Callithrix jacchus: one gene and its partners. The protein of the gene in region 2 interacts with the protein of the main gene of each other region in a biochemical or structural test. Links are inferred from orthologs where the notes say so. Each region holds a gene or a part of one and is shown on either strand. Other genes may lie near its edges. The genes, in order: ANGPT2, TEK and ANGPT4.

Region 1 (4,300 bases), on a different chromosome or scaffold from region 2:
TCACTTTAAGTGGGTTTCATCTTTGCCTTTTTGTTTTCATTCCCAAGCCAGAAGCCTGTAAACCGAGTGAGAGCGCAAACTGCCTTTCTCAGGCGCACGTTGCTGAGCTAGGCGGGGAGAGCAGGTGTGGAGCCGGCAAAAAGATAAACATTGAGTCACTCTTGGTGAAACAGTATTTAGCTAGATAGCCAAAGGCGGACTTTTGAAATACCATTGTGCTGCTACTGTTCAAATATTGACTAAGAGAACCTGGAAAGGAAGAAATTTGGGTCACCTAACATAGAATTCCTTGTCTTCTTCTGTCTTTAAATGCTATCTCAAAGACCCAAGAGAAGGGGTAGTTTACCTAAGAAAGAAACATGAGCTGTGCTTATGGAGTTTCAGGTATACCTAATGTAGGCTTAATTAAGCAAATACAAGTGACCAGCCTTACGTTTGGCAAAACATTCTTTCCTGTTTCGTGGCTCTTTATTATAGGAGATGACTTGCCAGCCGGGCAGCTTAGAAGGTTTACTGTAATGCGTCTTTCATCCCTCACAGTGACTGTAACCACGGCTGATGTGGGAAAGCTGTTAAACGTCACCATTTACAAAGAAACAGGAAGTTCACGTTAAGCGGGTATTGAGGGTACAGTTTGCCTTCCCCGTATTCCAGCCTGCGTTGCTGCACACGTTCTAAGCTTAGCATAGTTACTTACGCAGCTCTGAATTTTAGGAGATGTTTAAAAGCACGACACAGTGACCTGGGAAAGGAGAGAAACTTACTGAAGCACTTAGCCAGGAGCTTAAACAGACATTGCTGGCGAGTTTTAGATGAACATACATTTGATGGGTCAGTCGGGTACATTTTTGTTGTTTTAAACACTCCTCTTGACACAGTCACAGTGGTGCTGGGAACATTCATTCACGGTCATTCATTTAGGCTCATGGCTCACATAACTCAGTCGTTTCCTCTCTGAAGGTAGGGGGGTAATGAGAAGCACAGAAAAGGGTCCAGATCTGTTCTGAGATTCAGATAAGGTGTCCTAACAAAAAGCTGATGGCGAAATGAAAGAGTGACAAAATAATTGTGCTTTTCCAGGGTAACGTGTTAAATGAGGCTCACCAACTTTTAAAAGATTTTGTGTAGTTTTAAATAATCACATCCCTTGCCAGGTAAGCATTGTGATGTCATGGCTTCAGCATGCCGCTTAACGATTAATTTATGCATTTGTTTAAACTTCCTTTAGAATATATGGAGTCCCTATAAAGAAAATTCCAGGGTCACTTGGCTTTTCAATGGTTATATATAAATAGCTCCCATGTTTACACGTGAAAAAAATTATCTGTGAAAGAAAAAGCTTTCAATATCCTATTTTGGTTACGTCTCCATAAAAAGCCTAGGAAGCATCAGAATCATCTGTGAAACAGTGGAATCACCCCAAGAACAAGAACAAACTGTCAGACCGTCCTGCCGTGACATGACTTGAACATAACTGTCCCACGTGGGGACGCATTCCACACGGGTGGCTGGAACTGCCGGGGCTGCAGTGCTGAATACTTTCTGGACGCTTGGGAAAACTGCCCCTATTTACAGACAGCAAGCCCTTAGCCATAGAGCCCTGAGCATCTGAGCAACATAAGGTCTGCTTTATTTAATTTCCTCTCGTTCACCAAGAGCCACAACCTACTTTAGTAAATAAATTCAGGAAATTGGTAAAGCACTTTACTCCATCCGTTATGTCCCGGTCATCAGCAGGGTTGTCATGGTCTTTCTGGCTCGCGGGCGGCTGTGGCTCACAGCCTTCCCTCACTCGCCTGCAGTCAGCTGAGTGCCTGCCTGGTGATGGGTCTTACCGAGCTTCAGCGACGTAAACAAGCAGAACGGCACACAAGCTGTGCAGGAGGGTATTTCCTCTACTTTGTTAGTAAAGATTTGCAACTTTAAGGATTTTCTGTGTTGACCCTGACGTTCTTTCCAAATAATTATTTTCACCCCCGGACTATCCACACACCCTGGGATAGAATAAAAGAAAAATGATCTTTCATCCTAGGGTACCCGCAACCTGCTCTCCAGCTATAATCCTCTTAATCCCCCCTCTTTTTTTTTTTTTTTTTGGTTGTTAAAACCAGAGCTGCTGCCAAGCTGATCTTAATAGCATGGATTGTTCGCAAAGACAGATGATTTTCCTACCTTCATTAGCCACTGAGTGTTGTTTTCCATGATGTTCTCCAGCAGTTGCAGCCTCTGCACCGAGTCATCGTATTCCAGCGGCGCGTCCCTCTGCACAGCATTGGACACGTAGGGGCTGGAGGAAGAACGGCAGTTGTCCATCTCAGGCAGGAGGAAAGTGTAGCTGCAGGACCCATGCTGAACCTGATACTGCTTCTTTCCTATGCTGTCCATGCTCTTCCGAAAGTTGTTATAGGCTGCGGCCAAGACAAGATCACAGCTCAGAGTAAAGAAAACAATCTGCCACATTCTTTCTTCAGGAACAAACCAGCAGCTCAGCAAACTTGAAGGCACACAAGTCCAGAGTCCCGGGCTGCTGCCGTCGGAAACGCAGGGCTACTGTGCTGCCATGGCTGGGTCCGTCAATGGAAGTCTTCTCTTGCCTTTTTTTCCAGTAGCAAACTTGATTTTGAGTACTGTGTTCTCTCCAGGCATGCAGTAAACTGTCAGATTGCAGTGGGAAGAACGGTCCTGCTCGCTTGGGAGGGCTGTGCCAGCTTCTACAGAGCAGCTTTCGCGGTTCTTTGTTTCCCTCTCCCCAGATCCTACAGTGTCAGTATCCGAATCAATCACTTTCCTTTCCTTATATGATAAGTTGATAAGAGCAGCCAGACATGTGTAGTGGGCTGCTCCGCCCTCCTGGCTGATCCGCTATCTTCCTGTAGGGGGTCACTAGCCAGGCAACAGGAAAAATCGGAGCAGAATGCCTGCCGTCCAACAGGACCGCATGCTGCAGAAATCCTCCGGGAAAAAACGATCTTTACAGGACCCCTGGGCATTCCTAGGCACCACCCTAATTAAGTATTTCCTAGAGAGAGCAGTTGATCTCTTTTGTCTGAAACTGATTTCACCGTGCTAAGCTGGCAAAATATCCGAGGTAATAACTTTAATGTTAAAGCACAATGAAAGTTCCTGTTTTTTCCTTGAGGAATAAAAATACTACAGGGCTTCGGTTCATTTTTGTTATTACACATAGAGAGGAAGAAGCTTGGCTCTTGTAAACTCGTGCCTTTCCAGAGGGGAAAAAAATAGATTCATTGACATTAGTTGATTCTTGAACCATTGGCAAAGTTACAAAAGACTTTCATTTCAAATCAGTTGGAGAGGAAGATCTTCTGTTATTAAGTCATGTTAGAAACTTCAGTTTCTGAGCTCTGATATTTATTCTTTTTCTTTTCTTTTTTTTTTTTTTTTGAGACGGAGTTTTGCTGTTGTTACCCAGACTGGAGTGCAATGGCACGATCTCGGCTCACCGCAACCTCCGCCTTCTGGGTTCAAGCAATTCTCCTGCCTCAGCCGCCCGAGTAGCTGGGACTACAGGCGCGCACCACCATGCCCAGCTAATTTTTGTATTTTTAGTAGAGATAGGGTTTCACCGTGTTGGTCAGGCTGGCCTCAAACTCCTGACCTTGTGATCTGCCTGCCTCAGCCTCCAAGTGTGCTGGGATTACGAGCATGAGCCCCCTCATCTGGCCCAGAAACCTTTTTATTGTATCAGGATTTGTTGACTTCTCAGCATTTTGTAACATATTATCAATTACGTTAGTCCCCCTTGGTATTAGACCCGGGCAAGTCACTTCCCCTTTTTAATTAAGCTCTAATGTCCTTATCTGTGCGTTTCAGGGGGTGCACTCACAATATTTTTCTACTTCAATCCCGTGGCTCTGTAAGTCCTACGAGTCACTTCCTTTAACAACTAAAACTTAATACGTCAGAGGTTAACAATATGTTAACTCACCAGCCCACGTGTACATGTGTTGTGGTCTGTTTAGCTCTCAGTGTGCAAGGTTTATTATTCCCAGTGAGTGCTGAATATCTGGTACCCTCACTTGGCAGACCACATCTACCTACGAAAGATCTTTATTTTCCCCTGAGCTCTAACAGAAAGATAGCCTTTCCCTTATCTATGAGTAGTTAACAAACAACAGTGTCATCTGTGACCTCATCAATAGAAATCAGCTATTTTTATTTGCTGTCACTTGTACTTAAACTATATTTTTATTAAACCCATCCCTAGGTCTCTTTACTGAATATTTGAATAAAGTAGCACGAGTCATCTTTTGAGAAGGTGTTCATACGTTTCACCAGA
Region 2 (3,723 bases):
ATCTTAAGAGCTCTCTAAGGATGCTGGCAGATTTTTTTTTTCTGGACACAATACTGAGCCTGCGAATTAAATCTAAATCATATTAAATCATCTCTGCTTTCTGCATTGTTAAGAACAACAAAACAAAATATATCTATGATTAGAAACAGCAATATATTTCTTTAAAAACAATATCAACTACTTGCAAAACAGCCAGAAATCCCTTTTCTCTTTTGCTACTTTAGTCACAGGGAGTCTTGGGGAGCAGTGAGGATAGTGAGAGGAGAGGGGTGTAGAATCTTAGGAGGGCAGTTTTTATTGGGATCTGATGTGAGCCTGATTTTCTGTCTTGTGCCCATGTGAAGAGGGAAAAGAGCTTAATAAGGCACCAGAGCAGAGAAATCCTGCAGGCGAAGCTCTGCATCCAAAGAAGGGCAGTTACTGAAGTAAGCGGACAACCTCCCTGTAAAGAACTTCTTTAAAAAATTATTCCCAAGGTTTGACCTTCAGTGAGGCTTCTGCAGTCTGAACAGAGCACCTGACTTATGGGTACCCTTAGCCCCTCCTGAGACAATTGTCAGTTTCTAAGCATGATCAGGCATGTCCATGGCCACTAGCACCCCACTCCTACCCTTGCCACCCAGTGCTTTTTTTTGAAAAACAGCATAGCTCATTGTCTCCGACACAAGACTGATCAGTTTATGTACCAACCAATAGCCTTCTCTTCAGTCTGGTCCCTGGTGATTTCTCCCTCTGGTCAGAGTGCTAGTGGAGAGACAAGGCAAAAGGAATAGAAGCAGATGCAACTCAGTTTCCTGATTCCCATGCAACTTCCATAAGACACCATTTGGATTTGATTTGTTTAGCTCAATTAACCAGATTAAGACTGATTTGTAAAACATAAGTTACAATCAATGAACAAAGATGCATGCATTATTGGTGATGTTTCATGGAAACTTTGGTTCTATTGCTTAGTTGTCTCTGGATGGTAGATTTAGCTGGAAGAGCTAACGTCTAAAAGATGGTACAGCTCCACCTCTACCAAGTCATTTACCTGAGGATCTAGGAGCTTAAACAAGAAAACTTTAGAGTACTGGTTGGTTCTCATCCAGAGGTGGTTTTGCCTCTGGGGGCATTTGGCAATATCTGGGTACATTTTTGGTTGCCTATCAGCACATAGTGGGTAGAGGGCAAGATGGCTGCAAAACATCCTACCATGCACAGGACAGTACCCCTTAAAAAGAATGATCATCCCAGTATCAATAGTGCCAAGGCTGCTGAGAAACTCTACTCGAGAAGTCTGTATACAGTTGATGGTGACTGAGGGTACCTGAAGGTTCTGGTGGGGGGCAGGACAGGACACCTGATTCTGAAAAGGTGTGACAAGGATGAACCACAACTTTTCACTTTCTTCCCAGAATATGCCTCTAAAGATGATCACAGGGACTTTGCAGGAGAGCTGGAAGTCCTTTGTAAACTTGGACACCATCCAAACATCATCAATCTCTTAGGAGCATGTGAACATCGAGGTGAGATGCTCTTTTCCTGCCTTTCCTGCCGAATTTTTTTTTTTATAAAACAGATATATTTCATACTGATATAAGGAAAGATAATGATCTTAAGAATGTTGCTTATTTTTTAAAAGTTGCATATTCTATCTGAATGTCTCTCTAGTCCCATTTATAGATTGTGCTGAGGTTTGCCATCGTTTTGGAGGTAGGTACCGAGGCTGGACTATTTAGCCTCTGAGGCGGTTCAGACATTACTGAACAAAGGTATTCATGGCTCCTCCCTGCCCCATCCTTGGTCATCCAGACATTTTCTCAACTACCACCACTACTAAAGTATAGTAGGGCAGCCCCCAACATCAGTTTCTTCTTAATTCCCTATCTTTACATTTTTCCTGGAAACCCAAGGACGAGTATTCTGAATGTTAAAAGGCATGAATGCCAGCAATCTACTGAAATATGAAAACTGAGGATGCTTAGATTTTTAAAATAATTATAATAAGCTCTCATGCGATGGTGCTTTGTTTTTATGTAGAGTGCTTTCATGTACAATTACCATGGAGCTTTACGTCTATCCTATGTTGCACATGCCTTTAAAGTTAAATTTATGTTATTAATTCAAATGTTTATTGAGCATTTTCTATTGTAATGTGTGAAATTAGTGGTGAGGGTGTAGGTAACGACAAAAGTCTTCTATGAGTTTACCTCTGCAAAGCTGCATGGCCTTGTCCTTCTGAATTTGTGCTTAAACTTCATTTCTCATGGAAAACTTTGCTCCCACGAAAAGCTCCATGCAGTAATTATTTTACAGACTTGACAGCCTCTTGTTGACTTTGCAGGACAAATAGCAACAATAGAAGAGACTACTTCCCTTTCCTCAATTTATTAAACTAAAAATACTGGTGCTTCCAACAATATATCATTCTATGAACCAATGAGGGTGTAATTCTGAAAGCCAGATCATGTCCCTTAGGTTAAATAATGAAGTAATGACATTTATTTTTTGAGCTACTTCCTAAAAACAATAATCAGCATGGGACAGGAGTATAAATGAAAGTTAAACACCCCCCCACACACACACCCTGCTGTCCTTGCTGATGGCACTCCCACAAACATGGTGAGTGTTCTTAAAACCTGCCTGACTTTCTGTTCAAACCCCACAAAGACACAGTACAAAAGGGCAAAGATTCTCTGGATACCCAGGGCAAGTGGTGTTATGACAGGAAGCCAAGTGGCGGTGGTGGATAGAATAAACCAGTTTTCTGGAAAAAGCCTAAAACCACAAAGAAGACTCTGCTGGGGCTTTAGTGTGCTGACCCCGCTGCAGATCTAAGAGAATGCTGGCCGTGAGGGACCCAGGCACTTCGCACTCAGAGGAGATAAGAAGAGAAATGGCCAAGTGATCCAGCTGTAAGCCTCATCTTTTGTTTTATTCTGAGGACAGTAAAATCTTGAGGTGATGTTTACCTCATTTGGTTGCAATTGGTCTTTTGGGAGAGAATAAACTACAAATATTAATGCAGCTTTCTTAGTGGAGGAGGAGAATGTGACAACAAAAATATATCCCTTAAAATTTTGCTCTGTCATCACACTAGCACAGTTAGTTGGCTCTTAAAATTTTAAGATAAATTATTTGTACATATTTACGAATATATGTTATATAAATATTTATTAGTAAATTAATAAATACATTTTAAAATTATTTTAGAATAATTCAGTAAAGATGTGAGAAAGCACATTTATTCCATAATTTAGGTCTAACTTTCCTTATAGTGCAACTGGATACCATACCAGATTTCTTTTTTTGCTAGAGTTTTCAATTTCTTAGAATATATTTCAGGCTTTTTTCTTTCTTGTTTTGAGCCAGGGTTCCACTCTGTTGCCCAGTCTGGAGTGCAGTGGCACAGTCTGGGCTCACCGCAACCTCCCTTTCCCTAAGCTCAAGCAGTCCTCCCACTTCAGCCTCCTAAGTACTCCCAAGTACCTGGGACTACAGGGATGTACCACCATGCTTGGCTAATTTTCGTTTATTTTTATTTTGGTAGAGATTAGGTCTCACTATACTGCCCAGACTGGTCTCAAACTCCTGGGCTCAACCAATCCTTCTGCCTTGGCTTCCCAGAGTGCTGGGATTACACGTGTGAGCCACTGTGCTGGGCCTCAACTTCTAATTCATTCAACATAGAAAAAACATGATTTACCCAAAAAATTCTTCTTTAAAAAACAGTGAAATCAT
Region 3 (3,723 bases), on a different chromosome or scaffold from region 2:
TTGTGATCTGTCCCTATCACTTCTCCAGACCCTTGCCTGCCACTCTCCTCCTGGTCACTCCAGCATACTGGTCTCTTGATGTTCTTGAACCCACCAGCACGCCCCCTCCCTCGGGCCTTTGCACGTGCTGCACCCTCTGTCTGGAGCACTCTCTGCAGTAAGCCTGGCTGCAGCCCTACCTTCTCCATGGCCCTTCCTGGCCTTGCTGTGTGAACTCGCAGCTCTCATCCCTCCCACCACTCCCAATGCACCCGCCTCTTGCTCTGTCTTCCACGCTGTTTTCTCCTTAGCGCGGCCACTGGCTAACACATACAGCCACGTGTTGCTTAACGATGCAAAGATGTTGTAAGAAATTCATCGTTATGTGATTTCGTCATTGTGCAAACATCATAGTGTGTACTTACACACACCTGGATGGTGTAGCCGCCTACACACCTAGGCTATATGAGACAGCCTGTTGCTCCTAAGCTACAAACCCGTACAGCACCTGACTGTACGAATACTGTAGGCAGTTCTACCACCTGCGAGGTATTTGTGTATGCATATCTAAACATAGAAAAGGTGCAGTAAAAACAGGGTGTGAGAGCCTTATGGGCCTGCCGTTGTCTGTGTGGTAAGTTGTTCACGGGAACGTTGTTAAGTAGCGCATAACCACATATGTCATTTATCTTTCCATTTCCAGGGGAAGCCTCACAGTGGTAGGAATGCATGCCTGCTTTGTTTCCTGCTATATGCTAGAAACAGTCTTCTCAAGCAGTGCCCAGCACACAGGGGATCCAACAAACAAATGGGCAGAAACTTGTGTCCATTTGTTATTGACTGTTTCATCCACTGACTTCCCCACCCTCCCTTTTCTCACCAGTTCCCTCCCTGCTCTTTGCTGCTCAGATACCTCCTCTCTCCAAGTCCTTGGCTCCCGGAGGCCCAAATAATTATTTTTTATCTATCTTCCCCTAGTGCCTTATAAGCCTCCTGAGGGTAGGGGGGCTGTGCTGCTCTACCCCTCCTCCCAGTGCCCAGCACGGACCCCGGCACTGAAGTTACAGAGGCAGAAAAGCCAAGTCCAGCATTCACCTCCCAGGGCTCATAGCTTAGAGGGAGATAGTTTTATGAGAAGGTCATCAGAAAGGAGGGGCCCAGGGGGCTACAGGCCCAGAGGAGGCCTTGACCCTACCCAGGGACAGAGGTCAAGGTAAGATGATTGGGGCTGTGAGCCAGCCTGGCCAGTCACAGGCCCTCAGTGCCCACTCACTCACTCTCCATTACCTGAGCCTCCATGTCCGTCAGCTTGCGGGTCTGGGCAGTGGTCTGGTTCAGGAAGCTGATGTCCAGCTTCAGCAGGGGGGCCGTCTGATTGTGGACCATTTGCTGCTGGGCTTCCACCAGCTCCAACCTCAAGCGCATCTTGATGGTCCTCTCTAGCTGTGGGAGACCATGGGCTGGGGTCACAGGGGAGATGCTGGGGGAAGCCCCCTGTCCCTCCCATGTGTCTCCATGGAAGGGCACTGAGCAGGCACAGGAGGCCTCCCTGCCTCAGAACATGCCGGGCCAGCTCAGGCCACCTTTACCTCTTGCCTGGACAGTCACAGTAGATGTTTCCTTGGGAGGGATCACATATATGTTTTGTCTGCCTCTCTGCCTCCGTCCTTGTCCCCTTCACGGTTCTCCCCCTCTAGGCAGCCAGAGGGATCCTGCTAAACCTAAGTCAAGTCACACTCCTCCTCTGCTCAAAATCCTCCCAGGGTTCCTACCTCACTCAGAAAAGCCAAGACTGCAGGTTCCTCCGTGACCGGGCCTGCCGCTACACTCTCATTCTATTCCTATTCCCCTCTCCCTCACTCACTTCAATCCCGATGCAATGCCTCCCTGACATCCCAACAAAGCAAGCCTGCGCCCCCCTCAGGGCCTTTGCACATGCTGTTTCCTCACTGTTCCCTCTGGAATCCTCCCCCAGCCCCCACTCCATCTGCGTGGCACACACCCTCATGTTGTTTCAGGTTTCTTCATGCCACTTATCACCACTTGACTTTTTAAAATCACTACCTCTCTTTTTATCTGTCTGTTGTCTGTTTCTCTCTCTAGAATGTCAATTCCATGAAGCCAGGGACTTGGTTTTGCTCACTATCTTATTTCTATGTTTGGCACAATGCATGGCACACAGCAAGTGCTCATAAAGATGTGTTTAATGAATTGATGAAAAAGGGGAAGCAGCAAGGGTCAGAGCACAGCACCCAACCACATGCCCCTTCCCCACTTCCTCGGGGAGAGCCATCCAGCAGGGAGTGGGAATGCATCTCTCCCTTGTACAAAGAGTTTGCAGGTCCGTTGGCCAAGCTGTGCTTTCTCTCTTCAGGTCTCCTCCATCTGCAAATGGGGCTGGACTGGCCAGTCTCCAAGGGTTCTCCCAGCTCTGATGTTCTGGGATCCCACGTGCTAATGTTCATTTCTTTGACAGGGCTGCTCTCTTTCCCAAGGGCAGGAGAGTTGGTCTGGTACAGCACCAGGATTGTGTTGTAAAGGTGAACAGTGTGTTCTTAGGGCTCAGTGCCTGTCGGGAGAGAGCCAGCTCTGCCCCACCATTCTCTCTCCATTTGGCACACATGCTGGCCTCTCACCACACCCCCCCATCCCCGTCCCTGGCTCCTTCCCTTGCTTTCTCACTCAGTCTTTCAGAAGGTCCAACTGGACAGCTCCCAGGGTCCCTGGGAAGACGGGTGCTCCCCAGGAGAGGTGGTGACCTTTGCTCTGGCCAGGCTCCAGCCACTTCCTCCTTCATCTCTTCTCCTTTCTTCCATCTTGACTGTCCACTCCCATCCCTTCCTCCCCCTGGAGTGTTTCAAAGGGAGCATGTTCCATTATCAAATCCTGGAGTGGGTGCTTGTGGGCCGTAGTAGTATTGGTTAGACTATGTCAAAGTATGGTTCTTTCATCAGCATCAGCTGAGAGTTTATGAAAAATGAGAATTTCCAGGTCCCACCCTAGACCTACTGAACTGGAAACTTAACGGTGTCCAGCCAGCTGCGGTTAACAGCTCCCTGGCTGCGTTAGATACTTGCTCAAGTGTGAGAGCCCTTGACGCAGAGATGGCAGGGGGGACTGAAGACCAGAGAGACCTCCTTCCATCCTTCTCTGCATCATTAACCCCCGACTCCCTGTAGGACACAGCATGTGCTAACAAGTTCCATCTAAAAACTGACCCCACAGCCTCTCTGGCTGCTTCTCCAGTTTCTCTGGTCTCCTTAACACAAAACTTCTACAAGTTGTCTCCACATTCTCACCTCCACACCCACCCTTACTTAAAAAAAAACTATAATGTTAATAATATAATGACGTTACATTTCACACATATAAAAAAGCATAGAGGCCAGGTGCGGTGGCTCACACCTGTAATCCCAGTACATTGGGAGGCAGAGGAGGGTGGATCATTTGAACCCAGGAGTTTGAGACCAGCCTGAGCAACCTGATGACATTTTATTTCTACTGAAAATACAAAAATTAGCTGAACATGGTGGCACAAGCCTCTGGTTTTCGCTACCCAGGAGACTGAGGCAGGAGGATTGCAGGAGACCAGAAGGCAGAGGTTGCAGTGAGCTGAGATGGCACCACCGGACTCCAGCCTGGGCAACAGAGTAAGATTGTATCTCAAAAAAAAAGTATGGAGAATAAACATAACCTGCAGTGTTCATCCTCCTGTACACTCCCAGTCACATCTCTCCATCTGGG

The links.
Region 1: the proteins of TEK (region 2) and ANGPT2 form a complex in vitro, tested with the Homo sapiens proteins (7 studies listed by BioGRID and IntAct, with this or other methods). The link is inferred for Callithrix jacchus from reciprocal best matches to the Homo sapiens genes TEK and ANGPT2.
Region 3: the proteins of TEK (region 2) and ANGPT4 form a complex in vitro, tested with the Homo sapiens proteins (2 studies listed by BioGRID and IntAct). The link is inferred for Callithrix jacchus from reciprocal best matches to the Homo sapiens genes TEK and ANGPT4.

What each region holds. Positions count from the first base shown.
Region 1 is NC_133514.1:9,418,121-9,422,420, forward strand, and holds the start of ANGPT2 (angiopoietin-2), read right to left. Parts: upstream 2,801-4,300; 5' UTR 2,461-2,800; coding exon 2,173-2,460; exon of another isoform or gene 1-2,172. UniProt on the Homo sapiens protein: Binds to TEK/TIE2, competing for the ANGPT1 binding site, and modulating ANGPT1 signaling. Can induce tyrosine phosphorylation of TEK/TIE2 in the absence of ANGPT1.
Region 2 is NC_133502.1:134,401,079-134,404,801, forward strand, and holds part of TEK (angiopoietin-1 receptor), read left to right. Parts: intron 1-1,397; coding exon 1,398-1,508; intron 1,509-3,723. UniProt on the Homo sapiens protein: Tyrosine-protein kinase that acts as a cell-surface receptor for ANGPT1, ANGPT2 and ANGPT4 and regulates angiogenesis, endothelial cell survival, proliferation, migration, adhesion and cell spreading, reorganization of the actin cytoskeleton, but also maintenance of vascular quiescence.
Region 3 is NC_133506.1:8,628,848-8,632,570, forward strand, and holds part of ANGPT4 (angiopoietin-4), read right to left. Parts: intron 1,423-3,723; coding exon 1,267-1,422; intron 1-1,266. UniProt on the Homo sapiens protein: Binds to TEK/TIE2, modulating ANGPT1 signaling. Can induce tyrosine phosphorylation of TEK/TIE2. Promotes endothelial cell survival, migration and angiogenesis.